Mus musculus: one gene and its partners. The protein of the gene in region 2 purifies or fractionates together with the protein of the main gene of each other region. This does not show direct contact. Links are inferred from orthologs where the notes say so. Each region holds a gene or a part of one and is shown on either strand. Other genes may lie near its edges.

Evidence for each region.
Region 1: the proteins of Kmt2c (region 2) and Pagr1a purify together in Homo sapiens (affinity purification with mass spectrometry; 3 studies listed by BioGRID and IntAct, with this or other methods). This does not show direct contact. The link is inferred for Mus musculus from reciprocal best matches to the Homo sapiens genes KMT2C and PAGR1.
Region 3: the proteins of Kmt2c (region 2) and Ncoa6 purify together in Homo sapiens (co-immunoprecipitation; 7 studies listed by BioGRID and IntAct, with this or other methods). This does not show direct contact. The link is inferred for Mus musculus from reciprocal best matches to the Homo sapiens genes KMT2C and NCOA6.

What each region holds. Positions count from the first base shown.
Region 1 is NC_000073.6:127,011,056-127,021,949, forward strand, and holds Pagr1a (PAXIP1-associated glutamate-rich protein 1A), read right to left. Parts: upstream 6,298-10,894; 5' UTR 5,867-6,297; coding exon 5,388-5,866; intron 5,228-5,387; coding exon 5,145-5,227; intron 4,415-5,144; coding exon 4,215-4,414; 3' UTR 3,996-4,214; downstream 1-3,995. Other genes in the region: Mvp (major vault protein), read right to left, coding at 3,464-3,465; Prrt2 (proline-rich transmembrane protein 2), read right to left, coding at 7,761-7,961, 8,340-9,236. UniProt on the Homo sapiens protein: Its association with the histone methyltransferase MLL2/MLL3 complex is suggesting a role in epigenetic transcriptional activation. However, in association with PAXIP1/PTIP is proposed to function at least in part independently of the MLL2/MLL3 complex.
Region 2 is NC_000071.6:25,302,473-25,313,266, reverse strand, and holds part of Kmt2c (histone-lysine N-methyltransferase 2C), read left to right. Parts: coding exon 1-11; intron 12-1,847; coding exon 1,848-3,667; intron 3,668-4,716; coding exon 4,717-4,828; intron 4,829-7,279; coding exon 7,280-7,358; intron 7,359-8,525; coding exon 8,526-8,589; intron 8,590-9,147; coding exon of another isoform or gene 9,148-9,170; intron 9,171-10,328; coding exon 10,329-10,561; intron 10,562-10,794. UniProt on the Homo sapiens protein: Histone methyltransferase that catalyzes methyl group transfer from S-adenosyl-L-methionine to the epsilon-amino group of 'Lys-4' of histone H3 (H3K4).
Region 3 is NC_000068.7:155,433,339-155,444,232, forward strand, and holds the start of Ncoa6 (nuclear receptor coactivator 6), read right to left. Parts: upstream 7,446-10,894; 5' UTR 7,350-7,445; intron 4,802-7,349; 5' UTR 4,757-4,801; coding exon 4,522-4,756; intron 751-4,521; coding exon 595-750; intron 1-594. UniProt on the Homo sapiens protein: Nuclear receptor coactivator that directly binds nuclear receptors and stimulates the transcriptional activities in a hormone-dependent fashion. Coactivates expression in an agonist- and AF2-dependent manner.

The DNA of each region.
Region 1 (10,894 bases), on a different chromosome or scaffold from region 2:
GCTACAGAGCCAGGTAAATCTCCAAATTTAAGGCCAGCCTGGTCTAGAGTTTCGGGATTGCCAGGGCTGTACAGGGAAACCCTGCCTCAAAAACAAAACCAAACCTCAACAACCAGAAACATTAGCCTTGTCACAGTTCTGTTATTGCAACCTTGGCTCTGAATCACTCCTAGCAACCAAACTTCCTCTGCTGGACTGAAAAAGTTGCAAAGGTGTCTGTCCTAAAGCTACAGGTTTAGGGAGGGGAAGGTCCATCTCAAACAGTCCAAGCTCAACAAATCTGTTTACATCTGGAGGGCAAAGACCAAGACCTTTTCTTCTTTCTCAGGTGGGTCCAGGGTAGCTGTGAATTCACTGTGAAGCTGAAGGCCTCAAATCTCCGCCTTCAGGAGAACAAGACCATCAACTCAGTGGCTAGCCCATTCCAGCCTCCCTCCATTCCTGTGACTGCATCCCACTTTGAACAGCCCCTCTCCTGTGGGTGACAGTTCCAGTTGCTCTACTTCACCTTAAAATCATCACTGGGACCATTCCTGCACCTTCTACTTTAACCATTAACACTGTCACAGGTCTCTCTCCTGCCTTCCTGATAAAAACCCTTCCTCTCCTGCCTAGCTCCAAGTAGCTCCCTTTGTCCCCAGCTGTTCTCTTAATCCTGGGAGGACAGAGAGCGAAGGGGAAGGTGGTGACCCAGCCCAGCCACCAGATGGCTGCCTACTTTGGATTTAAGAAAAGGTCTACCTACATTCAGTATAAGCAGGGCCTGTCCTCAATGGAGTTCTTCCTTGATCCCACCTTCCACCATGTTGGCTCTGGGGCTTGAACCCAGGCCAGCAGAGGCTCAGCAGCAATCTCACTAGCCCCTCCCCCAAACAATCTTAGCCAATCGACAGCTGGAGTGGTAGCCCAGGCTGTGATACTGTATGTAACACAGGCAGGCCAGGCTAAGGGCAGGCTCTGGAAAAAAAAAAGAAAGCCTTAACCTTAACTGTGACACAGTTTGGTGGCCTCACCATGTGCCAAGTGGCTCTGCCCCTCCTCAACAGCCCCTCCCCCCCAAAATGTTACAAATGAAGAGTGTGCAGACTAGAATTAGACTGACTCAGGAGCCCTGATCTCCATTAAGGTTTTCTCTCCTAAACGAGACCTGACTGGGATTTTTCTTTTTTTTTAAACTTTTCTTTATGTAAGTAGTTAGCTGTCTTCAGACACATCAGAAGAGGACATCAGACTCCATTACACATGGTTGTGAGCCACCATGTGGTTGCTGGGAATGGAACTCAGGACCTCTGGAAGAGCAGTCAGTGCTCTTACTCACTGAGCCATCTCTCCAGCTTGTGTCAAGAAGAGTTTTATTGTGTTGTTTAGGCTGGCCTGAAACTCTGGGGATAAAACAATTGCCATGCTTCCACACCTGGCTTCTGACTAACATTGAGTCCTCGTCACACTTTTCTCAGGCCTTACTCCAGATTCACAGAATCAAGGATTCCAGGAATCGCCCACCCTACGTCCAATGCCTTCTGATGACTCATTCTAGCCTTTGAGGTCAAGACCTAGCCCAGCCATACGGCTTGGTCCTGGATGGTTGGCCAGGTTTCCCTGGCGTTCCTGGAGACAGTATGGCTTGTCAGCACCAGGTTGTCAGCCAGTCTCACTGAAGGGGACACAGAGGACCTGTTCCGGTTTGTTGCTGTCCAGGAAATGGCTTTTATTTTTCTTTTTTGTTTTTTTTCAAGACAGGGTTTCTCTGTGTAGCCCTGGCTGTCCTGGAACTCACTCTGGCCTCGAACTCAGAAATCTGCCTGCCTCTGCCTCCCAAGTGCTGGGATTAAAGGCGTGCACCACCATGCCCAGCTGAAATGGCTTTTCAAAGGCGAGCATTTTCCATACGCGGAGCCAGCGAAGTCTTGGCTACACGAGAAGAGTGTGGGATACCACAGCAGGCCTGAGCATCGAGCGCCCAGGATGGCAAAGGTGGTAGCTGTCCTGCCCAGGTGCCCCACCTCAGGGTGGGGATAGATATCCTGTGTGCCAAAGGTATATCCTGTGATGGCCAGCCTCTTTTTCATGTCCCAGGGAGCCACAGGCAGGCAGGGCAGAAGGAACAGCTTTGTCAACCACCATCTCCCACGAGAGCTGGGCAATAGTCACCAATCCCAAGTCCCCAGACCCTCAGGCCGGCTGTCCATTGAGCTTCCTCCTGTTTCTTCCCCTAAAGCTTTCCTCTCGTTCTCATTAAATCTGCACCTCCTGGAAACCAAGCTACTCTTGTGATCGTCCCGCTCACCACCGAAAAGATGGCCAAGGCCCATGGTTCGCACAGCCCTGCCCAGGGCAGCAGGAAAAAGCCTCCACGACCAGTGGAGAAGGGAATCAAGGAGGTGAAGTCACACATGCCAGTCACTCAGAGAAGGTAGAGCCCGGATCCTCTGGAGTGACGGCAGAAGGGAAAAGCCAGCAATGGAGTCTGAGTGGAAGCTGTAACTTTGCCCAGTTGGCTTCTGTTATTTGTGACAGGGTCTTACACGGTAGCTTAGGCTGTGGTGGAACTATATCTCAGGCTGGCCCCAAGCCTCTGGAGACCCTCCTGCCTCAGCTGCCCAAGTGCTGAGATTACATGTAAGTATGCTGTGCCACCGAGTCACACTCTACCCATCAGGTTGTAGAGTCCTTGTCCCAAATGCATGAAATCCTAGGTTCGAGCCCCAGCTCTGAATAAAACTGATATTCATGACAGAAATCTATAATGTTAGCACTCACTCAGGAGGTGGGGGCAAGAAGGTTAGATGTTCAAGGTCATCCTGAGCTACACAGAGAGTTCAAGACCACTTAGAAAAAATGAGGAGGACCCCCCCTTCTCTTTTTTTCGAGACAGGGTTTCTCTGTGTAGCCCTGGCTGTCCTGGAACTCACTCTGTAGACCAGGCTGGCCTCAAACTCAGAAATCCACCTGCCTCTGCCTCCGAAGTGCTGGGATTAAAGGCGTGCGCCACCACGCCCGGCTGAGGAGGACCCTTTCTCAACAACAACCACCACCCCCAAAACAAAACCTAAAGTCAACCAACCAAACAAGAGAAACAGAAATGATGGGGTCTCTCCTGCTAAGTGCAAGGCACCCTTCCTGCTTCAGGTTTCTGAGTAGGGAGTGGCACATGTGTGCTACTGGGCCTGACAAAAGTCCCCTTACCGCCCATCTCCTGTGAGGGAGACCCTATGTCAGGGACGCCTGAGGTTTTGGGGGCCGAGGACATTAACAGGGTGCTTTCGAACCCTGAAAGTCTTAGAAAGTGAAACCTCACAAGGCAGAGCTGCCCACGCCCTCCTTCCTGTAACTGCTGAGACGTCACTGCCCCAGAAGAAACGTCGCAGGAAAGCAGTCAGACTAGAGAGAGCCTGTGGGACAGACATCTACTCCCGGGTTGGAGTCTTGGGGGTCCCGCCACGGTCACAAGATCCGTACTCACATTTAGCAGGGTAGCTGGCTGCTGCAGGCCACAGGTCAGGAATTTCCCTCACCAACACTTGGGATGACTTCCCTAATGGGCTGGGCAGGCAGGGGCGGAGCTTGTGTATTTAAAGGGCCCTGCAACTGGATCTTTTGCTCCTCCAGGCTGCACTGAAGTCACCACAGCTGGGGGCAGTTTCTGAATCAGTGCTAACTGGCGGGTCTGGACCGAGACTAGGAAATCAGAGGATGCAGCAGTAAGGGTGGGGGTGGGGGATGGTGGCTGGCTGAGCCTCTGCCTCTTCTGGCTTCAATATTACAGTGTGGAGGAACACAGCTCTGCCTCTGCCCAAGTGAGAATGCGTGCTTGGGTTGAGCTGCAGTCTCTCCTCTGAGAAGATCACCCGGCATCTTTTTTTTTTTTTGGTTTTTCGAGACAGGGTTTCTGTGTAGCCCTGGCTGTCCTGGAGCTCACTCTGTAAACCAGGCTGGCCTCGAACTCAGAAATCCGCCTGCCTCTGCCTCCTGAGTGCTGGGATTAAAGGCGTGCGCCACCACGCCCAACTCATCGGGCATCTTTTATTAGATTTAGCACATCCAGCTCAAAACTGCGAACAGACACTAAACAGAACACACAGGCACTCTCCTGAGAGGCACTGCGCTGGGAGCCTGAGGCCTTCCCCATTACAAGTTCCCCAGAGCCTGGGTTGGGAAAGGCTGGCCATGCCCAGCACAAAACAGTCTGCACCTGTAGGCAGGAGCAGCACCAGTCAGTACTTCCGCTGTCTGGGAAAGAGACTGTTTCCTGAGGATCGGAGTGGAGGGCTGGTGGGGCTGGGGCCCTCTGAGTCTAAGCTGAAGAGGTCTCTCCCGGTCCGGAGGATTTGCTCCTCTAGTTTCTTATGGCGCTTCATGTCTGAGAGGACCTTATCCAGACGCGCCTCCCGTTTCTGGCTCCGGGCTGAGCTTCCTAAGATGGTAGAAAACATGACAGCATTGAGACGTGAGCCCTCCAAGTGCCCACACTTAGAGATCTTGTTAAATACTCCCTTCTTAGGCCTCAGGGGCACAGAGGAGCTAATGTTTAGGTTTGGGCCACACACAGGATGGCTGGTATTAGACTAAGATACCCATAATGCAATGGCTGGGGAACATAACCATCATGTGCAAAGGTCCTGGGGCAGGGGTAGAGGCCAGAAAACTTAAGACTCTCCGTGGACATGCTCTTCCTCTCTGGAATGGAATCCTCGGGAGTAGTACAAGCTGAGGAAAGACGGGACCTCACTTAAAAGGACTCCTCTGGTTGACAATGGTGGATCTGTACAAGCGGAGCTAATGCAACTTGCTGTTGGCTTGGCCGGCTGCGAGAGAGCTCCAGAATGATTCTAAAAGCATATTCTAGGAAGGCCCACAGGCTGGGATGTCAGGTCAGCTCTGGGCATGAACATAGTACTTCAGAGATGTGTTCAACAAACTTTGAACTTCTGGGAAGGTCTGCGGGGTCCCTGATAGGAAAGTATGGCACTGACCTAAGCCAGAACTATGCTGCTACTGTGTGAATGCTACTGTATGAATGCTCCGTCCCACTGCTGGTCAAGATGATGGCTGAAACCAGCCAAGGCCTCAGACCAGCCCACTTGTGGGCGGGGTAACTAGGGGAGGCCCTTTACCTCCCCTCAGTTCTTCCCTCTCATCCGTACCTGGTGTCCGTCTCCTGTCAATCAGTGAGTCCTTTGGTGTCATTGGCTCATCATCAAAGTCAAATTCTGTAGGCATGTGCGGCCTGAAACAGGGTGGACAGAAAGCCAAGGTTGAGAGAAGCACTCCCTAACACCCGCTGGCACACCCCAGCCCGCCGCCTCATCCTTTCCTGCTCTCCCCTCCCTCCAGGCTCCGTGCTCAGGAGAGCAGTCCCGGGAATAATGTGTAAAGCATGGCCTCACTTTTCCTCCTCCTCTTCTTTGGCCTCTGGCTCCTCGTCTGATCTCTCCTCTTCACTCTGGGCCTCTGGGGTAGGCGGCCGGCGGGGTAGGATCTCTGCTTGAAGCTCCAGAGTACCTTGGGTAGCCAGCAGTTCATAGAGCCGCTGGATCTCGGAGGGTGGGGGCATCCAGGACTGCCCATTGGCCGGCAGCTCCACCTCCTCATCGCTGCAGGGCACGCACCAGTCTTCGGCTTCTCCCTCCGCACGCTCGTCGCTCGCAGCGCTGGGAGCTTCTAGTGCCTCCTCAGGCCTGGATCCCTCACGCCCGGCCTCCTCCTGACTGCCTTTCCCCTCTTCCTCGGCCTTACTAGCCGAGACAGAGGGACCTCCAGTGTCCTCCACCGCCAGAGCTTGGAGGCCGGAAGTCACTTCCCCTTCTTCAGACAGAGGCGCTGCTGTGCTGCCTGCAATGGTTCCATGGCCCAGGGCAAGGGACATAGAGTACTAGAGAAGAAGCCCAGCAATAGAGGAGATTCTAGAGTACCAAACCAGTGCGCCTCACCCGAAAGGCTGGAGAGCCTTTCTAGGTCTAGGAAATCGCCAGTCAGTCCAACAGCTGACTGCGGCCAGAGCACCGTCCCCAGGAGGGGGCGCTCAAACCCCTGCAAGGACAGACCCCACCCCACGGACCCAGAATTCTGCCGTTCCCAGGGACCCGCAGGAAACACGCTCGGAGCTGGAAAGGGAAGGGCCTGTTTTCTCGCTTTCACATCGCCTTCTCCATCACCGGGATGGAAGTCATCTTTTTAGACCGGGCAAACCTAGTTCGCGTCTACTCAGCAGCGGTACAAACCTGGAGCTAAAACCCGCCTCCCAGGCTGCGCAGCATCTCAGTACGCAGGCGCAGAGAAATGGCGCGCGGAGGCTCCGCGGTAGTCAAAGCTACTTGGAAGAGGAAAGAGAAGACTTGCGCATGCGCAATTTGGCCCTTAGGACTCATTAACCTCGGCCCATACTAAAGATGGCCACTGCGGCAGCGCATGCGTATTCCGTTCAGTAGGGCCTGCCAGAAAGCAGTACCTTGACTCTGCAAACACAGGGACCAACTGAGGCCAGTCTCATGCATTCTCTGTTTATTAGTGTTTAAGACTCATGCAGCATTCAGCATACAAAAAGGGAGACTCAGTTTTATTTTTTGAAAAGGAATTTTAGTTTTCCCCCAACTTTTTTTTTTTTTTTTAAAAAAGAAAGGAAACAAACAAAAAACCCCGCCAACTCTGAAATGCATCGCAGCTGGCTCTCTGCCTCCTCAGAGGGCTGTCGCGTGCAACAAACCTCCCTCATCCTCTTAGAGAATAATTACAGAGCTCCCCCACCCTTCCCTTGCTCCCTGCAGCTGGGAACTTTGGTCCTGTTTTTGTTTGTTTGTTTTGTTTTGAATTCTACTGTTTACAAAGCACATAAATAGACCTTCAAACAAGAAACTCTGAGGTTAAAAAGCCCAAACGGGCAGATCAATTCAGGCTGACTCTTCAGGCGCAGCTATGCCCCTTCCTCCCCTGGATGTTCAGAATAAGGACTCTCAGAAGGTCCCCCAGGTGAGGACTCACTTGCCAGCTTTGGGACCCAATAGGCACCTTAGGGGTAGGGGTAGGGTATGGTCTGGGCCTGGGTGGTCCCCAGTAGAGAACAGTCAGAGCCCCCAGCTAGGCTCCTCTCCCCACACCATCCTTCTTCCCTCAGCCTGACCTAAGTACTGCAGTTTTTGCAGACTAAGTGTTGGCAGGAGGGTGAAGACGCTAAGGGGGAGATGAAAAGGGAGAAAGGGTCAGGGGACGTGGCAAGGGGAAAAACGGTGTTAAGGAAGGGGAGAACGGGATGGGTTAGATACCAAGACAATGAACGTTGGGAGGCCAGGGATAAGGTTCAGAGGATTCCAGAGGCAGGAAGAAGTGCAGGGAGGCTGGGAGAGATGCAGAGGTGCAGAGTACAATTTAGATGTTCAGGAAGGCTTCCAGAAGTGCAGAGAGGTTTTCAGAGTGCAGGGTTAGGGAGGTCAAGAGGCAGGAGTGGGGTGGGGGTCTGCAGGCAAAAGTGCAGGGAGAAAGGAAGCCTATGGCTGGCAGAGGAGCCTGGCAGGATGCAGGGGGAAAGAAGCTGTAAACAAGGCCGCTCAGGCTCCCTTGGTCCCTAGAGATGGGGGCCAGGGCCATGGACTGGGATTCTCCCAGGACAGGGATGGACCCAAGACAGCTCCCAACAGGAAGAAAAGTCTTGGAATGCAGGGCAGAGCCCCTCACTTATACACTGTGGGAGAGGAGAGGGAAAGACAGACAGGGAAGGAGACAGGAAGAGACAAAGGCATAGGGAGGACAGACAGGAGAGAGCAGGGTCAGGGGTTAGTAAAGCTGCCCTGGTCAACCCTCCGCGCCTCCCTTCCTGTCCCTGACCCCCACTCACCGCCTAAGTTGATGACGCAGGAGGCGATGATGATGAGGACCCCCCCAACCAGCGCCACGATGCTTAAGAGCTTGGCTACTCGGCCCAGACGTTGAGCCCCATCCACGTCCCCCTGTTGCAGGCTGTTCCGGGACTGGGGTGAGGGTGAGGGGTTTGGAGGTATCATGGCCCAGGTCAGCAGGAGCCAGCCCAGCAGGGATCAGGTGAGAGTCCAGAGGAGGAAGGTCAGCCCAATGGGGTTGAGAAAGGAAGGAGAATTGGGGACGCAGGAGGAAGAGGGTACAGGTCAGTAAGATTATATGACACATCTGTTTCCCTCCCGCTTGAAGGGGTCGGGCAGGAGTGCCTTGGAAGGTTAGGTCCTGGGGAGAGACAAGCAAAGGGCCAGCAATTGGAAAAGTGGGATCCATGCAGAGAGGTGAGGGAAGGTGTCATTACTGGGGCTCTGGGCTGACACTGGCACGAAGCTGAGAGCCACAGTACACTTGGGCCAGGGTCCCTTGGGGCTCACCATGACGGCATAAGCGAAGGCCACAATGTTGACAGGCCACATGGGGCAGAAGCAGGACAGGATGGCAAGGATGATATAGTCCCGAGGTTTCTGGGTGCCTTCGCCCCCTTCCACCCCAGGCCCTGCCAGCTGGGAGCTGGGATGACGGCTTAGGCTACCTCGAGGAGATCCTGGATGCCCACCGTGTGCCCTTCCTATTCTGTCTTCCTCAACGAGTTTCTGCAGCACACGGGGGGGAGCCCCATTGGCTGGGGGTGTTTTAGTTGAGGGTGGTGAGTGAGGTTGGGGGGCTGGGCCCTCTTCCCCGTCACCAGCCTGAAGGGGAACCACTGCTCCGTTTTCTTGTTTTTCCCCTGTACTTTCTGTCAGGACCTCTGTGGTAGGGTCCTCTTGGGTGGGGGGCTCTGCCTGAAGGGGTGGTTTAGGAGGAGGCTGGGAAGTTGGCTGAGGGTCTGACTGGGTGTTTATCTGAAAAGCAGGCTCCGAGGTTGGCTCAGGAGGGGCTGTAGACTGCGGCTCAGACCCTTCCTCTGCTGCAGTCTCTCTGTTCACATCTGGTTTGGATGCTGGCTCTTGGCGTGCCTCGCTGGGGCTGGGGCTGGGGCTGGCCTTGGAGCCTTCTTCTGGGTTTAAACTGAGGTCTGTGGCCTGGACTGTTTCTGGGGTTTCAACTGGGGTCTCTGTGGTTTCTGGTGCCAGCTCTGCCTTAGGCCCTGAGTCCACAGGGGCTGCAGTGATGCCTGGGCCCGGCTGAAGGGCCTCTGGCTGGTCTGGGATCTCTGCTACAACCTGGACAGGACCTAGTCCTTCTTCAGAATGCCTGGGACCTTCTGTCTGGGTTTTGGAACTGTCTTCCACCCCCTTCATCTCAGAGACCTGAGAGCTGCTGGCTGCCATCTTAGAGAAGCGAGATGGGAGAGGGCCCGTGGGGAAGAGGAGACAACAGTGACAGTAGCAAATCCTGGAAGAGGAGGAGACAGGCTTGGTGAGGAGGGAAGAGTGTCTCTCATCACCACAGGCTCAAGAGGGCTAGGATTCTGTTTCAAGGCTAGCCTGTACTGTCCCTAGGGAGAGGAGGAAAAGTTGGGATTTCCTTTGCTTTAAGGTGGAGAAGTATTTTAAAGTCGGCTTGGAGAGCCATGGGAAGATAAGCCCTTTTCTAAACAGAACTGCTCTTGGGTCTGTTCCTAGATCCATCCAACACACCCAACAAGACCCAGTCTCTCAGCTTCCAACTCGAAGGCGCACCAGAACATGAAAATCTGTGCATGCGTCAGGCACTCCAACAGGCAGACTGACCAGGACCCCACACAGTCTGCTCCTTCTGTACCCTTCCCTCCTCTCTGGGCACCACCTAAGAAGTGCAGGGTTTCCTACTGTGCATTTGGGCTCAAATGCCCGTCTACCTCCTTCCAGCCCCATTCTTGGGGAAGACCCAGTATCTTGTGCATACCTTCTTAGCCCTTCTTTTAGGGGTTCCCTTGTTGCTTTCAGCAGAGGCTGAGGGGGAGGGGATCTTCTCCCGATGGTACGACGCACCCAGCACCACCCTCTAGTTCGCCTGGCACCTGCATTCTCATGCCACCCAGCTGTCTGTCGTCCACACCTACCAGCAGTCTCAGTTGGTCCCAGTCTCATCCGCTGCCAGCCTCGGGACTGCTCCTGCGTCCCGCCGCCACCGCCGCTGCTGCTGCAGCAGCCGCAGACCGGGGAGGGAACAAGTCTGTGAGCAATGAAGGGAGGTGGCGGGTCTCCCCTCCTCTCTCCTCCGGGTTTGCTCGGCCCTTCTTCTCTGGTCCCCTCCCCTAAGCTCCACTGCTGCCGCGCCGCCCCCGCCCCTAGCACGCCTCCTGCCCCTCCCGGATAGCCCAAGAGAACCTCGTGCCAGGCCCCGTGTTACCTGGGTAACCGGCCTGGGGACCACTCGTGCCCCCTCCCTGCCCTTTCTCGCCCCCTCCCTGTCCTTTCTCACGCGCACCTCCTGGTGGGGCACCCCCTTCTTCCTAAGTCCTCGGCCCCTCCCGCCAACGGTCACCGGGGGATCCTGGCAGAGACCTAGGTCTGCGAAGAGACGGACCAGTGAGGATTGGGTGGAGGCACCCTGAGCAGCATAGATGGGTTAAGCAAACAGGTCTAAGTTTGGGGTGGCTGCAGGGGAACTGCGTGGGGTTTCAAGAGAAGGGAGCCTGCAGAACTGAAGCCTTCCTACTCTTGGAAAGCAGCAGCAGCAATGCGTGATGGAAGCTTAAGGGAGGGTCTTTGTAAAGGTTTGAGCAAAGCCCAGAAATGGAAATTCCAGCAAGCTAGGAAGGGCCAGGGCAAGCAGTCCATGACCACCACAGTGGGACCCGAATGCAGCTTACTGAACCCTGTGTCAACCATGGACCCTGGGATCTGTATGTGCAGCCTGGTGCTGGGTTGTAGACAGGACAGCATCAATAACTAGCTTGGCATCCCTAATCTCCAGTGGGTATTCTGTGCCTGTTCAGATTGGGTATTCCCTGAAGACCTGGAATCTGCTCTCCATAACTTCTGGATTCTTGGCCCTACCCTAA
Region 2 (10,794 bases):
CATGGATTCAGGTAATGCTTTTAATTTTCTGCTATATTTAAGTTAATATTGGAAGAAGGAACTGGACAAATACCATTACTATTTGGCAAGAAATTGTTATGGTTTTTCTTCTTTTTTCCTTCTTTTTGTTTTTTTGTTTGTTTGTTTTGTTTTTTTTGTTTTTTGAGACAGGGTTTCTCTGTGTAGCCCTGGCCATCCTGGAACTCACTTTGTAGACCAGGCTAGCCTCAAACTCAGAAATCCGCCTGCCTTAGATATTTTCTTCATTTACATTTCAAATGCTATCCTGAAAGTCCCCTATACCCTCCCACCTCCCTGCTCCCCAACCCACCCACTCCGGCTTCCTGGCCCCGGCATTCCCCTCTATTGGGGCATATAGTCTTCACAAAATCAAGAGCCTCTTCTCCCATTGATGGCCGACTAGGTTATCCTCTGCTACATATGCAACTAGAGACACAGTTCTGGGGGTACTGGTTAGTTCATATTGTTGATCCTCCTATAGGGTTGCAGACCCCTTTAACTCCTTGGGTACTTTCTCTAGCTCTGACATCATAATCTTACCTGCCCAATCATAGCTTCCAAAATGTAGCTATTAAATCCTAATGAAGTTTCATATGATATGTTAGATGATGATACATTTTATTCTTTAAAATAATATGTTAGATGATAATGATGCATTTTATTCAATTTAGTTGAATTGTAAGATGTTTGTAGAGAGTTGCAGATTGGAAAGATGCCTCCTTTTAGAGACTGATACAGTTGGGTTGTAGGGTGGGCCAACATGTATGATCAAGGCACTCTTACTATTCTTATAAGGAGAATAATCTTTAACGTGTGCTTTTTAGAGGACACACAGTTTAATCTTACACCTATGTCTGTTATATTCTGTTCCTTTTTTATTCCACCTTAGTTGTAGTTTATACCCATTGCTGTTTTGTGCACTTTAAAAAATTTGTGTGTCTGTATAGGATGTGTATATACATGTGCAAGGTAAGAGGTAGATGCTGAGTGTCTTCTTCTATTGTTTTTTACCCTATATTTTTGGGGAATAAGATCTCTCATTCAACTTAGAACTCACTGATGTGGCAAGGCTAGCTTTTCAGTCAATCCTAAGGATGCTGTTGTCTCCCTTTCCACCCCACTAGGATTATAGCCATCACCATCATGCTTGGCTTGTGTGCATGTGTACAGGGTATATAAAATGTAGTTGTTGCGCTTGTTCAGTAAGTACTTAGTGGCTAAGCCACAAGTCCAGGCAGTGTCTGTCTGACTTTCATTTTCTTTCGAAATTTTCTACTTGAGTGTGTGAGCCACAAAACACACGTGGTAGCTAGAGACCAACTTTGTAGAGTAAATTCTCTCCTTTATGTGTTCTGAGAGTCATACTCAGATCATTTACAGGGCAAACACTTTTAGTTTTGTCTATTTAAAAAAAAAAATAGCCGGGTGTGGTGGCACACGCCTTTAATCCCGGCACTCAGGAGGCAGAGGCAGGCGGATTTCTGAGTTCGAGGCCAGCCTGGTCTACAAAGTGAGCTCCAGGACAGCCAGGGCTATACAGAGAAACCCTGCCTCGAAAAACCAAAAAAAAAAAAAAATAATAATAATAATAATAAAATAAATAAATAAAGTGTTGTTTATGTGTGTGTGTATATATAGTGTGTACGTGTGTATAATGTATTTTGATATCATGTTTTTCTCTTCCAACTCCTATTTTCACTATCATTGAGCTTACTAACAGTTTTTTTTTTTATAATCTGTAGAGTAACTTAATACTTCTTTTACTTTTCTCATCTCAATTCTAAATTATCATTCTTAATTATTTGTTGGTTCTTTCTGGCTTTTAGATTTGGATTTCCAGGAGCTGGCCATGGTCCCATGCCAAGCCAAGATCGCTTCCATGTGCCTCAGCAAATACAAGGATCTGGAATTCCTCCACACATAAGAAGACCAATGTCTATGGAAATGCCTAGACCTTCAAATAACCCACCATTAAATAATCCAGTTGGGCTTCCTCAGCATTTCCCACCACAGGGTCTGCCAGTTCAGCAACATAATATACTAGGCCAGGCATTTATTGAGTTGAGGCATAGAGCCCCTGATGGAAGGTCACGGTTGCCATTTGCTGCTTCTCCTAGCAGTGTTATAGAGTCACCTTCACATCCAAGGCATGGAAATTTCCTTCCCAGACCTGATTTTCCTGGCCCTAGACACACAGACCCCATAAGACAGCCTTCCCAGTGTCTATCCAATCAGCTACCTGTGCATCCAAATTTAGAGCAGGTCCCACCTTCTCAGCAAGAGCAAGGTCATCCTGCTCACCAATCTTCTATTGTCATGAGGCCCCTAAATCATCCTTTAAGTGGTGAATTTTCTGAGGCACCTTTGTCAACATCTACCCCAGCTGAAACATCACCAGATAACTTAGAGATAGCTGGTCAGTCTTCTGCTGGCCTGGAAGAAAAACTAGACTCTGATGATCCTTCTGTGAAAGAACTGGATGTGAAAGATCTTGAGGGGGTTGAAGTCAAAGATTTGGATGATGAAGATCTAGAAAATTTAAATTTAGACACAGAGGATGGCAAGGGTGATGACCTGGACACTTTAGACAATTTGGAAACTAATGACCCTAACCTGGATGACCTCCTAAGGTCAGGTGAATTTGATATCATTGCATACACAGATCCAGAACTTGACTTAGGGGATAAAAAAAGCATGTTCAATGAAGAATTAGACCTTAATGTTCCAATTGATGATAAGCTAGATAATCAGTGTGCATCTGTTGAACCAAAAACAAGGGATCAAGGAGACAAAACTATGGTTCTTGAAGATAAGGATTTGCCACAGAGAAAGTCCAGTGTTAGCAGTGAGATAAAGACAGAAGCCCTGTCTCCCTACTCTAAAGAAGAAATACAGAGTGAGATTAAGAACCATGATGACAGTAGAGGTGATGCGGATACTGCGTGCTCACAGGCTGCTTCTGCTCAGACCAATCACAGTGACAGAGGAAAGACTGCTCTATTGACTACTGATCAAGATATGCTTGAGAAAAGATGTAACCAGGAGAATGCTGGGCCTGTTGTCAGTGCCATTCAAGGGTCCACTCCTCTGCCTGCTCGGGATGTGATGAACTCCTGTGACATAACAGGATCGACTCCAGTTCTCTCGAGTTTACTTTCTAATGAGAAGTGTGATGATTCAGACATTAGGCCTTCAGGGTCCTCCCCACCAAGTCTGCCCATCTCACCATCCACTCATGGGTCAAGTTTGCCTCCTACTTTAATAGTACCACCTAGCCCTCTTTTGGATAATACCGTGAATTCTAATGTAACAGTGGTCCCTAGGATAAACCATGCTTTTTCTCAGGGTGTGCCAGTAAATCCAGGATTCATTCAGGGCCAATCATCAGTGAACCATAATTTAGGGACAGGGAAACCTACAAATCAAACTGTGCCTCTCACGAATCAGTCCAGCACCATGTCTGGACCGCAGCAGCTCATGATTCCTCAAACATTAGCCCAGCAGAACAGAGAGAGGCCCCTCCTTCTAGAGGAACAGCCTCTGCTTCTACAAGATCTTTTGGATCAAGAGAGGCAGGAGCAGCAACAGCAAAGACAAATGCAAGCCATGATTCGTCAGCGGTCAGAACCATTCTTCCCTAACATTGGTAGGAAATTCCTTCTGTCTCAAAATAAGTTACTGGGGGCATCTGAGTACATGCAGCATGCTTGTAAATTTTCATTATTGAGATTACATTTGGATCAGTGTAATCTGAGAATTTTCTGTCTTCTCGGGTCTTTACAATGAAAAGATGAATTTTAGATTCCTTCCAGGTCAGTCAAAATTAAGATAACCTTGAATTGTTACCTCACTCAGTTCTGCTTTATATGGTGTTGATGGTGGTTTTAGTTTTATCTGCCAATTGTTATGAGAAATAAATGTAAGGAAATTATGATAGAAATAAAGTTTCTTGTTCTTTTGTGCACAAGTGTTTGGTAAAGGTTTTTTGCATTTTAGGGTTTTTTTTTTAATCCCCCACAGACACATCTTTCAACTTATTTTTGTTGTTTTATTAGTTTTAATAAAAACACAAGTCCATGTAACCCAAACACTTCAGTGCTTTGCCTAGAAGAATTAAGTCAGCAGGCATATATCTGAGGAGTATTTTTTTCTAACTAATAACAAAAAGCATTGTATCAACATGTGGTACAAATTCCATTATTTGACTCTTTTTTCCCACTTATATGTATGCAAAGAGATGCTCTCACTATCCTCATACTTTTATTTTGTAGGTATATCCTGGAGATATTGGTAGTTTTTTATTTCTTTTAAAAACTGATAACTAATTTAGAGGGATTCTTTAGTATTGGAAATAACTGTAAATTCTCATTCCTTTCAGTCCATTACTAAAAAAGATCATTCTAATTGGCACTGTGAAGGTTTGAGCCACTGGGACTCTCGTTGCTGAACATCACTGTTGTGATCCCCTGTAGACTGACAGACTTGTTTTAAAGTATGCTTCAGTTATAGACACCTAAAATGCAGCTACCATTTCTAGATTCCCTTATGTGGTGTAGAAACATATAATGATTCTTGAATAAGGTATAAGAATTTATAAATTATGTAATTGTGATACTTAATTTTACCACTTCATATATCTTGAGCCATGAACTTAAATTATGAAGTAAGTAATGTCAAAATACATTTCTTCTTTAGATTTTGATGCTATTACAGATCCTATAATGAAAGCGAAAATGGTAGCCCTTAAAGGCATAAATAAAGTGATGGCACAGAACAGTCTGGGCATGCCACCAATGGTGATGAGCAGGTAGGTAGAAGTGCTTTTTTTTTCTTCCTGGCATGTAGATGTACATAAAAACACCCCTACTTCTTAGAGCTCCTCAAAAGCCTACCTTCTGGTTGTAAAGAGTATTTCAATTCAGCTGAATGCAGGGAATTAATTTCCTTTCATTTTAGGGAAAATAAACAGAATAATATACCACTCAAACATTAGGAAGACTGACTTGGTCAGTGAGGAAATCCAAACTGTTTGTGTGTGTTTACTTTTTTATTTAAAGAAGTGTTAGCCTAAGATTTTCATTCAAGAATTTCAGTGGTTAAGGAAATTATCAATTTAGCTCTGAAATGAAATTGTCCCAACATGACTTTGAATTAGAAAAGGCAAAACAGTAATTTATGGAACATTTGGATACTGAGACTGGGATAGTTGGATAATTTTAACATCTAACAGAAAAATGGAAATTGTGTGTTCAAGAGAGATATTAGAGATGAGTAATCGTTAAGTTACAGTGGCTGTGTACCCCAGTGAAGTGCTGAATCTTGATCACTTTCTAACTTAAGGATTATTTGTGTGCCCCCATCACTACACTTTTAAATGCAGTTTCTATACCTTTCTACAGACCTAGTGAATGGGATTTTCTAGGAATGGTGTCTGAATGCTTGTATTTTTGACAAGTACCTTGAATGATCTTTGTGTTGTATTGCTGTTTCTGATTTCTGATCTCAATTTATTGTGATGATCTTGTTGAAAAATTATAATAGGGAGTGCAAATGATTGTAGAATTTAATATAGAATTGTATAAGTTGAAGATATAGACATAGGCTTTAGGGAACTGTGTAATACACTGAGTATGATTAAGACACATTTTTGATGTCAAAGTAAAGATAGTGATTTGTAAAGATTTTTACTACCTAGCTGGATTTATTAGCACTGTTCTTCCCTCAAGGTAACTTTATGGCATAAGCCTTTTTAACCTTAAAACCATGAAACCTTTGAAATTCTTTTCAGATATACAGGTAATAAAAATACAAATTCAAAAAGAAATAGACCACATTTGTAACATAGTTAATAATCTCTGATTATATTCTTGATATGTGTGTATCATAATGCATTAACAAACTTAGCTCTAAGTTTTATATTTTATAACAAGGTAAAGATTGGTAATTACCTACTATGAATGTGCAACACTTGTAGGAAAATCATGTTTCCTACTGGTGAGAGTATAGTATTAATAAATAATACTGTGATAAATAATAAATAATACTGTATTTTAACTTGATACTCAGAGTCAAGGAAATGCTAGATTTTGTTTGATCCTTAATTGTTTTCATGGGCCTCAGAATCAGAACTCTCAGCATCTCATATATGTTCAACATAAGTGTCTGTGCTCATTAGACATGCAATGCTTTATCAGCCACATGCTAAGTGTACTGGAGACCATTCTGAGTTCTTTGCAGAACTAAGGTAGTGCCTTCTGAGATTAGTGTAGTGTGTTACATGATGATGGCAGAGAGCAAGCATTAATCGGATTGGGATTATTTTGTACCAGAGCTGTAGTAGGGAGAAGGGAGATTAATGAATCAAACTTCTGAGGGAAAAAAAAATCACAAGTATACACTCTAAAGTCTAATAACATTTAAATGCTTCTTTATAATATTTTTGGATCTATTTTGAAATTGTGTTCAATGTATATCTTTTTTAAAAAATTTTTTCCTATGTATATCTTAATATGTTAAAGCATTCAGTGGCTTAATAAGACAGACATGTTTTCAAATAAGCCATAATGATTCTATACCAGTTACTAGTTTAATTAGAATTAATAAGGTTTCACCAAATGGATTTAACTATAGAGATTAATCACTAGTTTCATTTTTTTTTAATTTGGTATAATCATTATATACAAATGCGTACAAGAATTGTGGAATTATTTGAGATATTTTTGTTTTAGACTATAAAAGAGCTAAGTAGTACCCCTTATTCTCACCCCCAATGTCTTAGTCTATAGTCCAAGTTGGCTTGAAACTCTTATGTAGCTCAGGCTGGTCCCGAACTTGTGGCATTCCTCTTCCATCAACTTCTCATGAAATAACAAGCTTAGTCTATCCATTTTTAATAAAGATTGCAACTAGGAAAAAAAACTTCCTTGTTTGTGTATTGAAGCTAGATTTTTCACTGTAAACGTATCATAAAAATTATTTTTCTGAAACCTATGAGGGCCCAAGCTCTGCAATAGTTTAGCTGGCTTTTTATGCAGCTTTACTGGTCCCTATGAAGATAGTGGCCTACCCATTCTGAGCGGTCATCCATAGTAATGGGAAGGTACTGAGTGCATACTGAGAAGAGGTCTGTTGAGCATCCAGAAGCCAGTTGTCGGAAGTCTCCAGTGTTACTCTTCTCTCCCCTGGAAGAGAGGAGTGTTAGGTACCTGTGTGATTTGTTCTGAGCTCATCAGTTGATGCTGTGCGCTTTTCTTTACAGATTCCCCTTCATGGGCCCATCAGTGGCTGGAACACAAAACAATGACGGCCAGACCCTAGTGCCACAAGCTGTAGCTCAGGTAATGCTGCTCGAATCACTGGTTTATGGAAGACACATGGACCTACTATGTCTTACCAAACCCAAATCATAATGAAGCCCCTCCTAGAAAGGAATAGGAGCTGATCTTCTGGCAACACAGTGAAATAAAGATGTGTTGTTGCTGTGTAAAATAAAGACAGATTTAAAGACGAGAATTTCTGCAAAGGACTTGCACACGTTAATGATAGAAAGTCACTTGGAAGGAAGCGAAGTGCTCTGGCTTTATATTCATTTCTAACTCTCGAAAGACATTTCATATCCTGCTAATTGGAATTAATCCATCACATTTAAAATGTATAATTATTGGAAACAGTAGTGGAAAATGTCTGTAATCATTCTATTAGGTATAATTATTCCTTGAGATGATTTTTTTTTAATATTGAGCATCTATAATGAGCTCAAGTTTAAACATTGATGCTATGTTCATGTTATGAAGTCTGGAAACAGTAACTCTTTTCATGTGCTATTTTCTATGTTGATTTTTAAAACATATGTTTGCCTGGTATAGGGGGGTACCTTGATCTGTGTGCTTTGGGAATTATCTTATATTCTGCCAGTTATCATTTATATTTACTATACAGATAATTTATGCTTTTTCCCTATTAAGAATATAAACACCCTTTGATATACTGGAAAGGCTTAAGTGTTGTAGCTGAGTTTTCTAAGTTCTCAGTTTGACTGTGAATTCAGTGTGCACTTTGAGCAAGTTCTTGAGCTTTTTAACTGTGCTCTATCAAATGCTGCATCAGCTTCCCTGCAGTACTTACTATAGGGCTGAACATGCCATATTCTGGCTGTTGAACATAATAGCTCATGTCTAACGGAATTTGAATCAAAGATTCTATTTATCAGGTTCTGGCCAGGAAATTGTGAAATTATCAGCTATCCAAACACCATGAAAGAAGCAAGGCATATTATTAGTACACAAGACTAACATTATAATGAGTGCATTTTCTTTTATATGTATACTATATTAATTCTTGTTATAATTAGCTTTTTGTGATATAGTATAGTTTAGTGAATGTAGAACATGTGTTTATGAATAAAATGAATTTTTTTTTCATTTTTTTTCCTTCATTTTGAAGTTTTTCCCCCCCTTAAGTTGAAGTATGGAATTAAACATATTTGTAAATTTTACTTATTTTAGGATGGCAGTATAACACATCAGATTTCTAGGCCTAATCCTCCAAATTTTGGTCCAGGCTTTGTCAGTAAGTATAAATCTAATAAGTTACCTGTTTTCTGGGGATTGCTTGTTTGACTATATTTGTGTTGTTTTGAAGCTCGGAATTAGTGTAGATGATACCTCTCCTATCAGAGGTCACTGTCCTAGGCATCTTTACAGCAAGGCATGTGTTTTCATTGCTTTTTTCCGCTGTGCATGAGGAACTAGTTAGAAATAAATACTTTAATACAGGAAAACCATCTTCCCTATTTTCTTCAACATTGTTGTTTTTTTAAAATAGATTTACCTCTTTCCCAATATAGCATTAAACCATGTTTGCTTTCATGACAGTCTGCCTATAACGAGGACACTAAATGGGGAAAAACAAAGGGAATATATTTAAAAGCTGGGTTGTAGCATGGTGTGAAGGTCAAGTGTGCAAGAGGCCACTGAACCCTTCTAGCTGTCCTTAGGGGTCCCAAGGTGGTTCAGGATAGCATTTAACGTTCCCTCAAACTGAACCTTTCTGAAATCTTCAGACTGTTTAGCTAACTTTTTTCACCATTATCTTTCATTTTGCTCACCTCTGCTCTCCTGGTTCCAGAAACCAGAAAGGCTTTCCTTGCGGTAGGTCTCATTCTACCAGAAGCAGAACTTCTGAAACCTTGTGAAAAAGCCTGTTCTTGACAAAAGCCCTTCAAATTTAGTGCACTAGATTGCACCTTCATACATATACTGGAACTTCTGGGTTTAGGAACAAACCCAAAGTCTAACCTTTTGAAATTCCCCCGCATCAATTATGATCATAATTTGAATACACATTTGTATTAAAAATAAGTAAACTACTATGACCAACTGGCTTTTTCTGGCTGTATTGTGCCCATTGGATTTGGTTGGATCTTAATGTATGGCAATATTCTGTTATCATTGATGTTATTTTCAGCTAATGTCCTTCTAGGATTGTGTTTTTCTTTGTTTTATAGTCAAAAAGGAATACTCAATTTTTTACTACCTGAGCTAACCTTTTTTGGGGACTTGGCATCAATGGAATAATGTGCTCTGGGAGAACAAGGACGGGATCTCAGTGTACGATAAGATGTAATGGGGAGAGATATAAGATATAATCCGTCCAGGACAGATGAGAAGGCTTTGCTTGCTTAGCTATCACTTCCCCCTGTAGACTTAGAAATTACAAAATTAATGGAAGTTACCAGTGTTTTAAACTTAATATATTTTCTTTATAAAATGTAGACCTCCAAGTGCTTCTTTTTAGAGTTTTCTGGGTTTCATCTCCCTGTTTCCTTTTTCCTCCACTACAAAGATGTAGGGAAGACTTTGTAAACTTAGAGAAATCAGCATGACTGAAATCAGCATGACTGATTACAAATGACTACGTAATCCATGCTCTTGATGTTACTGGGATATATTTTCCTTGCCTCTTCAGTCTGTACAATTGAATTAATAAAATACAACATTTTTAAACAGTTTGGTTTATGGATTAGATAATTTGATGGTTCTTTTGGAAGATTGGAGTTGCAGAACTTACAAGCATTAAGTTAACTAGTGTTTTAATTGAGCATTCTCTGGCTTTCTTGAGTAAATACAATTTTCTAGAAGCTGATACTTCATAGTTATAAAGGACTCTAATAATTAGAATTTTGTTTTCAATTTTTCTTTAAAATATTCACAATAAAATTGTCTTCTTACAAATGAATTTGCTTAACTTTTAATAATCTTGGACTACCTAGAAAAATTAACACACTTGAATTTTGGTTCTTCCCTCAGATGACTCTCAGCGTAAGCAGTATGAAGAATGGCTACAGGAGACTCAGCAGCTGCTTCAGATGCAGCAGAAGTATCTCGAAGAACAAATTGGTGCACACAGAAAATCTAAGAAGGCTCTTTCAGCTAAACAGCGCACAGCCAAGAAGGCAGGGCGGGAGTTCCCAGAAGAGGACGCAGAGCAACTCAAGCATGTTACTGAGCAGCAGAGCATGGTTCAGAAACAGCTTGAGCAGGTAATAGACAGGTTTGTAAAGTGGAAGCCATCTGCAGCCGAAGAGCTGTATTAGTGGGCCTCAGGGTTTGGGTTTCTGCTATTAAATAGCATGCAAATTACACTCCTCTAGGAAGACCTCTTAATAACTGAGGGAGTGGCTGCCTATTCCTGACTGAGTGATGCTTGCTGCCACTGAAGAGACTGACTCTCACAACTCCGGGTCAGAACTGTTTTATATACTCTCTGTGACCC
Region 3 (10,894 bases), on a different chromosome or scaffold from region 2:
AAGGGAGAGAGCAGGAAGAAACTCAGAAACTCAAAGTTCTTGATTTCCTTCTGGGAGTTTATAATTAGAAGATAAGAGATATGAAGTTCAGTGTGGAAAGAAGGCAGGATAATACGGACACTGTAACACTTGAGTGTAGAGTCTCTGGAGTATTTGTGAGGAAATTACCATTTTCTTTCAATAACTGCACTATAAAAAGCTTTCCAGGTATTGCGAATATAAGTCAGCTGGCAGAGTCCTTGCCTAGCATGCAGAAAGCACTGAGTACTGTCCTCAGCATTGCATAAACCCAGTGTGTTAGAACATGTCTGTTATCAAAGCACATCAGAGGTAGAGGGAAGATTTAGAAGTTCAAGATTGTGCTCAGCTACATAGGGTATTGGAGGCCGATGGCTACACAAAATCATTTCTCAAAAATTAAAAAACAAAACCACAAAGAACAAAAAGATCCTTACAGGTTTTTAGTAGAGATGTCATATAATGGCAAGCAGAGAAGTCTCTCCTAACTGCTAGACAAGGCAGCATCAGAAATTACGCAGGGGTACTACTGTTACTGTATTGTGGTTCAGATAGGCACATGGCAAAGTAACGAACCTTCAATCTGAACGGAGAGAATCCCCAGGTCCCGAAGCTGCTGGTTGTTGCTCTGAGCCAGGATCCGTAGCCGTTCTGCTGCTTCCCGGGGGATGTTGAATGTGACTCGCACGCTGTTCCAGGGCTCCACCTTCTGTACCTTTAGCTTGCTGGATTCTTGGTCACGAAGAAAAGAGAATAACATTATTAATTTTGAAGGCATTTGAGAATGAGCAACTGAAAAAAAAATCCCTATTTTAAATAAGAGCAGAGTTCACTGAACTACAACAGAGGGAGGAAACATACACTCTGACAAGTCAGCTTCCTTTAGGACAGAAAAGCATTTGGCATTCTGCAACTCTAAAACCTATACAAACTTCTGGACATATTCTTAAGAATGCACAAATGCTAACTTACTCTAGGGAACGTGTGTGTCCATATGCAAAGGAGTGAAGTTATACCTAATATAATGTACAAAAATTAATCGAAAATGGAACACTTAAATTTGGACCTAAAACTCTTAGAGGAAAATATCTGACAAACCTTCACTACCTTGAACTTGGCAGTAATTTCTTGGATGTGGCAGCAAAGGGACAGGCAACAAAAGAAAAAAATAGAAACAATAAACTTTTTTTTTCTCCTTGAGACATTGTTTCTCTGTGTAACCCTGGCTGTCCTGGAATTCACTCTATAGACTAGGCTGGCCTCATACTCACAGAAACCCACCTGACTCAGCCTCCTAAATGCTGGAATTAAAGGTGTGCATCACTCCTGCCTGGCCTGAAACACTGGACTTCTTAGTGATTTTGTGCATTAAAAAAACACTATCAAGCTGGGCAGTGGTGGCGCATGCCTTTAATCCCAGCACTTGGGAGGCAGAGGCAGGCAGATTTCTGAATTCGAGGCCAGCCTGGTCTACAGAGTGAGTTCCAGGACAGCCTGGGCTATACAGAGAAACCCTGTCTTGAAAAAAACAAACAAACAAACAAACAAAAACCAAACCAAACCCAACCCAACCAACCAACCAACTAAATAAACAAACAAACCTAACACACTATCAAATGACTACATACCATATCACATTAGGGTGGTCATTATAAAAGTAGAATACAGCAAATGTTGACAATGATATGGGGGAAATTGGGAACCCCTGTGCACTAATGATGGGAATACACAAAAAGTACAACTACTAAGAGAACTATATGGTGAGGAATTAAAAAAGAAAGTTATATAATGACAGTAGCCAGACATCTAGGAAAGGCTATAGCAAGCGAGTTTCCTGGAGATGGCCCACCATTTTGCATGGTTGTGATAGACCTTCTAGGAGGCACAGCCCCAGAGACTTCGCCCCAGGATTGCTTCTCACTGCTGATATGCTGGCCATTTCAGCAAAATAATGGCTGATTCCTGCCATTATTACATAGCCTAATGACTCTTGGGCATCAGTCCACTCTATTGAGCAAATTTCCTACAGACTTCAACATGAAGATGAAACATTTATGAATTAATGCTGTTTAGATGAATTAATGACTTTATAGAATTCAAATAATTTTAGGAAGAAAGTTTAAGGAGATGGTTTTAGTGTTAGAGTCAAGAATAGAATGTGCCCCTCTTCATAGAATAGTAAGTAAAGGCTGTATGATAAGCTTTCATAAATTATACTAAGAAGAGAAATAGATTTGAGAAAGATTTGTGATCAAGGAAAACATTGATTCTAGGTCAGGTCCAAAGATGAAACCACAGGTGAGCACTATGATAAAGCAAGGCTATGTGAAACTGTTGTTTTGAACTTATAATGGGCTTATAGAATGAAACACTGCTTTTGACATTCTACTGTAACTCCCCATTTGTGTAACATTTTATCTATGAGGTAATTTTATAAAGAACTTTTGTGTAAGAAGGTATAAAAAGGTGGAAAGAAGAAATAAAGTATGGCTTTTGGGGCTCTGCTCCTCCACCCAAAAAAAAAATATATATATATATACATACACACACATACATACATACATATATATAAATATATATATGTTATATATGTCTGGGCATACATATGTATGTAGGTACATGTGTATGCATGTACACTTGTGAAATGGATGAAACAGGTGGTTAGGCCCAGCCAAAGTGTGAATGTGTGCATACATGTGCGCCTGCCCCCCCCTTCTTTTTTCCCTATGAAACTGCATCAGCTTCTGGCCCCCAAGACAGTAAGAGAGAGTTAGAAGGTCAGAGGTCATCAGCCTTTGGCATTTGACTGATGCTGTTTCCCACCTCAGTAACTGAATATCAGGGCTGGTCCCCAGCAATATAATACAGCACTTGTATTTCTAAGGATACAGTCCAAAGAATTGAAAGCACAATATGGAAGAGTATATCCACATTTACAGCAGCGTTATTTATAACAGCTAAAGCACGGAAGGAATTCAAGTGCCCAGCAACAGATAAACAGTAAGACGATGTAGTATATACATACATGCTGTGGAATATTTGGCCTGAAACAGGAAGGAAATCCTAGCATGTGCTACAGCTCATGGACAAACACTGAGAATATTATGCTAAAGGAAATAAAACAGGAAATAAAGATACAGGATTTTGCTTTGATAGGGTAGGTAAAAATAAAGCAAGGGGGCTGGAGAGTTAGATAACTGGCTGCTTTTCCAGAGGATTAAGGTTTAATTCTAAGCACACAAGAGGGAAGTCACAACTGGCTGTAGTTCTAGTTCCAGAAGATATGATGCCCTCTTCTGGCCTCTATGGACATTGCATGCATGCAGGCAAAATACCCATACACATAAATCTAATTTTTTAAATTAAAAAAAAAAGTGCAATGGTGCTTATTAAGGGCTTGAATAGGTAGGGAATGAGAAGTTATTATATAATAGTTATAGATCTTAATTTTATAAGAGTTATAAAAATAGCTACTAGTAATTGTTGCATAATATTTTAATTGCATTTAAGAATCATTGAGCCATATATAAAAATCATAAAGATGGCAAACTCTACTATATGTATTTTACAATTAAAGATTTACAAAGTAAACTGAGGTAGTAGTATTGTTTGTAATTACATTTCACAGATAAGAAAGGAAATAAAAGCTATCTGGCAACTCCAAACAAAATATTTTCCCTTATGTTATAAACTCAGATCAACTAAACAGTTCATACCCTTTATTCAATTATATCTCTCTCTTTCTTTTGAGATAGAATTCCTCTGTGTAGTCTTGGCTGTTCTGGAACTCACTCTGTAAACAAGGCTGGCCTGTGCCTACCAAATGCTGGGATTAAAGGTATGTGACACTGCCCAAATTACATCTTTCAATATTAATAAAATAGCTCTATAGGAAAATGCTTTCTCAAAATCCAGATATCCATGAAGAGCGTTTCAATATGCCACCTAAGCCCATTCCAGCTCTTAAACCATTAGATACAAAATATTAACACAGAATTTATTGTTGTGATGTAAAACAAGAACAAAGCAGACCACCTGCTAAGGGTGATGGGATTAATATACTTACAAATTTTAAAAATGCTTAGACTATGTTTAGTCAAAGTGCTCTTAAAGGTAAGGAAACTGTGACCCAGAGAAAGGCTAAGCAAGCTGAGTTGAAACCTAGTGAAATCAGACAAGCTCTAAGTGTTAAGCCTGCTTTTCCATCACATTTGGAGACATGTTTCAATACACTGAAAAACTTTAGATCTTGGCTCCACAGGACAAAGACACTAAAGTTTCTTCCAATCTAATGATTACTGGAAACTTATCTGTGTTCTGCACACACATCAGATAGCTCTATACTAATTTTAATGTTAATATATTTGAAATTTATTTAATTACAATATACTTTACTAGCAACTTTTAAAACTAGGCAAGGTAGCCTAAACCTGTAATCCTAGCATCATGGTTGTAGGCAAGTAAGCATGTCAAAGCAACAAGAAGAAAGCAAAGATTAATTACCCATGTGTAACAAGTTGGGCACATTCTTTAATATTGCATCCAGTTTCCATTTGAAGTCTTTATCATCTATATTTCCTTTGAAGGCTACAAAAATTGTGGAATCCTCCAAAATACTATCACTTTTCGTGTCATCATCTTCTAGTCCAGAGTCAAACTCCACCTCTGAGTCGCCCATTGTAGATGAACACAAGGAAGTATAGATGTCTTCAAAGTTTGGAAGGTCATCCAAAACCATGGTGTATTATTCCAGAAGTATATGCAAAGTGAACAGTAAGTAAACCTTCAGAAAAAGAGAGGATGCAGAGTATTATAAACTATCATTATATAGTCAGCATATCATTTTTATTTAATATGTTATCCATACCTCTATAAAAGATGTAATTTATTTACCAGATAAAATTTCCTTTCATAATATTATTTGCTACTTTTTTTTTTGTTAAGACTAGACTATTGGGAGAAATATACAAAGTGACACAGGAAAATCAATAGATCTGAGTGTTAGCAGTGCTCACCTGCAACCCCAGCGCTTTGGAAGATCATAAGTTGAGCTCACCCCAGGCTGCAGAAGTAAGCTCTTGTCTCAAACAACAGCACCCAGAAAAATCCTTTATAAAATAACTATACTTCTCCAGCTACATTTAAGAATTTCTAATAATATTAAAAGTAAATAAATAAAACTAACAAAAAAATTTTAAGGCTAAAAAGCTGCTGCTTACTTAGCAAGAGAAAGACTGAGTTTTGAAACTGCCTAAAAACTGTAGGTATTTAGCAACCATTTCAAAGTAGGACAGAAAGAAAAATAACTTAATGATATATGTCATTAAAGTTAAACAAGAGTAAACCAAACCAAAATTAGTAGCTGGAAAGCCATGACACAGACGGGTGAGCTGACTTAGCAGGTGACTAGGACCGCTCCTAAGCTTGCCGATGAGTTTGACCCTCAAGATCCATATGACGGCAGGAGAGAATTAAACTACAAGTTGTCATCTGACTTAAACACACACCAAGCCCACTCACACAACAGTAAATAAACAGATGTTTAAACATTTTCTTCAAAAAAAAAGGGGAAGATAAAATAAATGTTAGGATAGGTGTTAATAAAATGGATTAAAAGAAAAATATAAAAGATTAACGAAACAAAGAGTTCTTTGATAAGATAACCAAATTGACCAAAATAAATAGACATGAATTAAGAAAATGAGGAGGCTGAAGATGCAGCTCAGTTGCTATAGAGCTTGCCTAACATGCACAAAGCCCTGGATTTGATCCCCACCATCACACAAATCAGGCATAGCGATACATACCTATAATTCCAGCACATGGAAGATGGAAGCAGGAGGATCTCAGAAACCCAAGATCATATCTGGCTAAAAGGGAGTTTAAGGCCAGTTTGGGATACAAAGAGGCTTGGCCTCAAAAAAGATAAGTATACATACATAATATATATTATATACATAATACATAGACTAAAAAGGAGATATTAAAGCAGTGAGATTCAAAGAGGATCTCTAAGGAATTTTTGAAAACTTCCAGTAAGTTGTTAAAACTAGAAGGAACTGGTATGTTTCTCAATACATGAATTACCAAAATTAAACCAAAAGGATATAACCTAAAAAAAAAAAATTAAAAAAAAAATAAAAATGATCACCATACAATGAGGGCTGGTGAGATGGGTTAGTGTGTAAAGGCACTTGTAGCCACGCCTTGTGAGGACAGAGAGAACCAACCACCTCTGTGTGCTGTTTGCTAACCTCTGTACCTCATGGTGGCATATGCACCTACAAGATATGCACATACAATAGAAATAAGATGTGGAGGCTGGAGAGACGGCTCAGCAGTTATGAGAACATGTTGCTCTTAGAGGATCCAATAGTTTTGTGTGGGTGCTAAGAAGTGAACTTGGCTTCTCTGCAAAAATAACAAGTATCCTAACCCCTAAGCAACTCTCCAGCCCCACTTCACCCCTGGTCATACTGATTATAGTGCTTGAACTCTTTGTTGTATGTTTGCTTGTTTTGAGACAGGATTTCTCTGTGTAGTTCTGCTGTCTTGGAACTCATTTTGTCGACTTTGCTGGCCTCAAACTCATCATAGAGATCCACCTGCCTCTGCCTCTGCCTCTGGAGTGCTGGAATTAAAGGTGTATGCAAAATATAAAATAAAATAAAAGTATGTGCTATTATATCAGCCCAGCTAGTGCCTGTAGTAAATAAAAAGCATAGAAACAAGCAAGGCAGAAGTCAAATCATTCCTACTTACAGATGTGATCACTTACTTAAAACATACTAAGAACGTCTCAAGGTAACTATTAAGAGTTAGGTAGTAAATACTTTCAAGAAAATATCAGGGATATAAAATTAACCTAGAAAACCCAGTAGCAGGGCTAGTAAAATGGTTCATCAGTGAAGTGCTCTTTGAGAGGACTGAAGCTCAGTTCCCATGTCAGGTGGCTCACAACCTTGCCTAGAACTCCAGCTATAGGGGATCTAATATCCTCTTCTAGACTCCACAGGCACCAATAAACACACATGCAAATAAAAGTAAATTGCTAGGTTCTCTATGTACTGATAATATGCTGGGAAAGAAATTAGGAACCCAGGTTCAATTCCTAGAACTTACATGGAGGTTTTCAACTGTTTGTAACCTCAGTTCCAGGGCATTTGTCACCCACCCTTTTCTGGCCTCCTTGGAAATTTCATGAATGTGTTATACAGACATACAAGAATGCAAAATATACACAGTACATATAAAACAAATTTAAAATAAAAGAAAAACCAAAAAGGTAGACTTAAAAAAAAAAAGAATTTCTTACATAAACTTTCACTTACCAAAATGTCTTAATTATCATTTATCCAGATCATCCTCTAAGTCCAAGCAAGGTGGCATCTTTAGGGCTTATAGGTCAAAGTAGCAACCAATCAGAATTCTTTTAGAGAGAGAGAGAGAGAGAGAGAAGAGGAGAGGGAGAGAGGGGGGGGGGAGGGGAGGAGAGGGGAGGAAGAGAAACAGTATTATAAAGAAATAAGATTAAAAATACGAACAATAAATAAATACATACATAAATACATAAACTCTAGAGATTGTTAAATCAGTTTTCACTAGAAAACTTATCCCACATGTAGAATGAAGAAGCAAAACTCAGGAACCCCAAGTAGCTTCATGTAAGAGCCACAGAACTGGGAATTCTGGCTTTCTTGCACCCTCCAGACTTTTACTCTTAACCTTGCCAAATTAAACAAGGAAACTACCTATAGATATTTGGAGACAAATATTTTTCTTTTTACAAGTCTTAAAAGATTTTTTTGTGGACATGGGTATTTTGCTTATATGTATATATGTGTATCACATGTGTGTTTAGTACCTATGGAGGCCAGAAGAGGGTGTCGAATGTCTTGGAACTGGAGTTACAGATGGTTGTGAGCCACCGTATCAGTGCTGAGAGGCAATCCAGGTCTTCTGGAAGTTCAGCCAGCGCTCTTAACATCTGAGCATCTGTCCAGCCCCACAGAATATTTTCTATTCACATTAATACAAAACTCACATCTTCTAACATAATTTCAAACTTATTTTTAAAATCCATAAAGTATAAATATTTTCCTTATTTATTCACAATATCTTGTAGTTTGTTTGTTAAGGAGGGCCCGACCTGCACTGAGAGGAAAGCAGGTCTGTGAGAAGAGTCGCTTTACTGTCAGGCGTTTTATTTTTTTTAAAGATTCATTTATTTATTATATGTAAGTACACTATAGCTGTCTTCAGACACTCCAGAAGAGGGCATCAGATTTCGTTACGGATGGTTGTGAGCCACCATGTGGTTGCTGGGATTTGAACTTGGAACCTTTGGAAGAGTAGTCGGTGCTCTTAACCACTGAGCCATCTCACCAGTCCCTGTTTGTTTGTTTTTTTTGAGACAAGGTGTCTCTGCATAGCTCTGGCTGTCCTGGAGCTCACTCTGTAGACCAGGCTGGCCTCAAACTCAGAAATCCGCCTGCCTCTGCCTCCTGAGTGCTGGGATTAAAGGCGTGCACCACCACGCCCAGCTCCATCTTGTAGTTTTAATTAAAATTTTAGTTTAAATTTTAAAGCATTCTTTACGGCAAACATACAAATTATACATGGGAAATTAATTTTTTTGGCACGCTTCAGAAAAAAATTACCTATCTTAATAAGACAGTATCAGACTATAACATTTTTAACTTTGGTGTTACAATTTTGTTATTGCCACATACTGGTTAAAATCTTTGAAACATCTATTTAATGTGTGCATACATACATACATGTGTAACTGTGCAAAGGTGAAAAGACAACTTGTGAGAATCAGCTTTTCACTGCCACCAGCCTGGGGACTGAACTAGGGTCTTCAGGTTTGGTGGCCAAGTGTCCCTCTCCTCAGAGAAACTATCTTATGAGCTCAATATTGATTTCTATAATCTTGAAACTTTAGATGAATATGTACTAATAAATAACAAAAACTGTTATTTAATTGCTTTTTTAATTAAAGAAAAAGGTACTTTTAAAGTTAGGCCATAAGGAAAAAACCTCAATATATCTTAAACAACAATAGAGTGAGTACTCAAATACTCTACTAACAATGAGTGAGTACTCAAATACTCTAGTCACAATGAGTGAGTACTCAAATACTCTAGTAACAATGCACTTACGTGATTATCTCAAAAGAAAACCAACAAACAGAGCTCTATCTAACAGCAATAGCAAAACCTATAGATTCAGGTTAAGAAAAAAATACCAAGCAGAAATGCAATATTTCTAGAGAACTATAAATAATACAACTATAGGAACCCAAGAATACAGGCAAATTAATGAGGAAGAAAATTAATAATCATAAAATATCTACATGAGTTATAGGGGGAAGTAAGTAAATAAATAGCTGCCTCAAAGTTAGAAAAAAATCATTAGAGTGAGCTAATGCGCTAAAAGGGAGCCAGTGACGACATCAGTAAACTAGAACTCAATTAGAAACAGAAGGACAGACATGGTGGGGCTTGCTTGCAATTAGCCTTCAGGAGGCAGAGGCAAGAAGGGCACAAATTAAAGGCCATAATCAAAAAACGGGTCAGACCCAGCGGCTCAGGTTGGTAATCTCAGCACTTGGAAGGAGGAAGCGCTTAGGACAGGAGGATCAGTAGTTCAAGGCCAGTCAGGAACAAAGAGAATCTGAGGCCTGCATTGTATGAGACAGTGTTTCAAGTTAATAAAACAGTAAAAAAAAAAAAAATCCAATAAAACAAAAGTAAACAGGTAAATTATTAAAAATATTTGAGGCAGGATGTGCCTCTTGACCTTGAATTCTTGGCAATCCTCCTGTCTCAACTTCTCATGTGCTGTGATTACAGGCATATGCTACCATGCTCAGGTCCAATACGTCAATATTGGAAGACTATTTTAAAGTTATATAACTTGTTAACTTAAGAAAGTAAAGAAGGAAAACAAGCCAGGCAGTGGTGGTACATGCCTTTTGAGGTCAGCATGGGCTACAGACTGAGTTAGGAAAGCCAGGACTACATACAAAACTATTTAAAAAAAAAAACAACCCTTTACTGCCCCCACCATGGAAAAAAAGAGAAAACAGCAAGCAACCAAAGTAACACAAAACAGAAACAAAAAAGGATTGCTGACTGTGACTATTTTGGCCAAGATTTTGTTCCTCATAGTATAAATTTTTGTTTTGTTTTATTTTTTTGAGTCAGGGTTTCTCTGTGTAGCTCTGGCTGCTCTGAAATTCACTCTAGACCAGCCTGGCCTTGAACTCAGAGATCCACTTTCATTGGCCTATTGCGATTAAAAGCACGTGCTACTGCCAAGCTACAATATAAATGTTTTGATATTCTTAGGTTGAGAGCACAGCAGGAAGGTCTTTAAGCCCAAAGATCTCCAGGGAGACCAGGAATGTTATACACACAGGATTGTCTTTCCAAGGGGAAAGACTCAAAACCTGTTTTTCCATCCAGAAAGTTGGGAATTGGAAGTGACTAAGCTGCTGGTCAGTGGTATCTGTTGGACCAGACCACAACAAGCTCCAATATAAACTCAGGAACAAAAGTAGTTAGTAATCTAAATGATCCTCACAGCTAGGGGACTCCCCAAGCTCCCACAACCCAGACAGCGATACTCAGTAGTAGGAATGACCCTTACATTATCTGTATAGCCAGAGGCTCCTCCAAGCTCCCACAACCAGGACCAGAGATGGCTTATAGCACAGATGACCTCTCTGCTGTCAGTATGACGGAGACAGGCCAGACCCTTCCTTAGGCCATTAAGCTTGTACAGGTAGCCTCCTGTCTTTAGAACCCATCTTCTCGGAAAAAATGACATGTACCCTGAATTAAGTTTCAGTGTAATTGTTCCTTGTGCA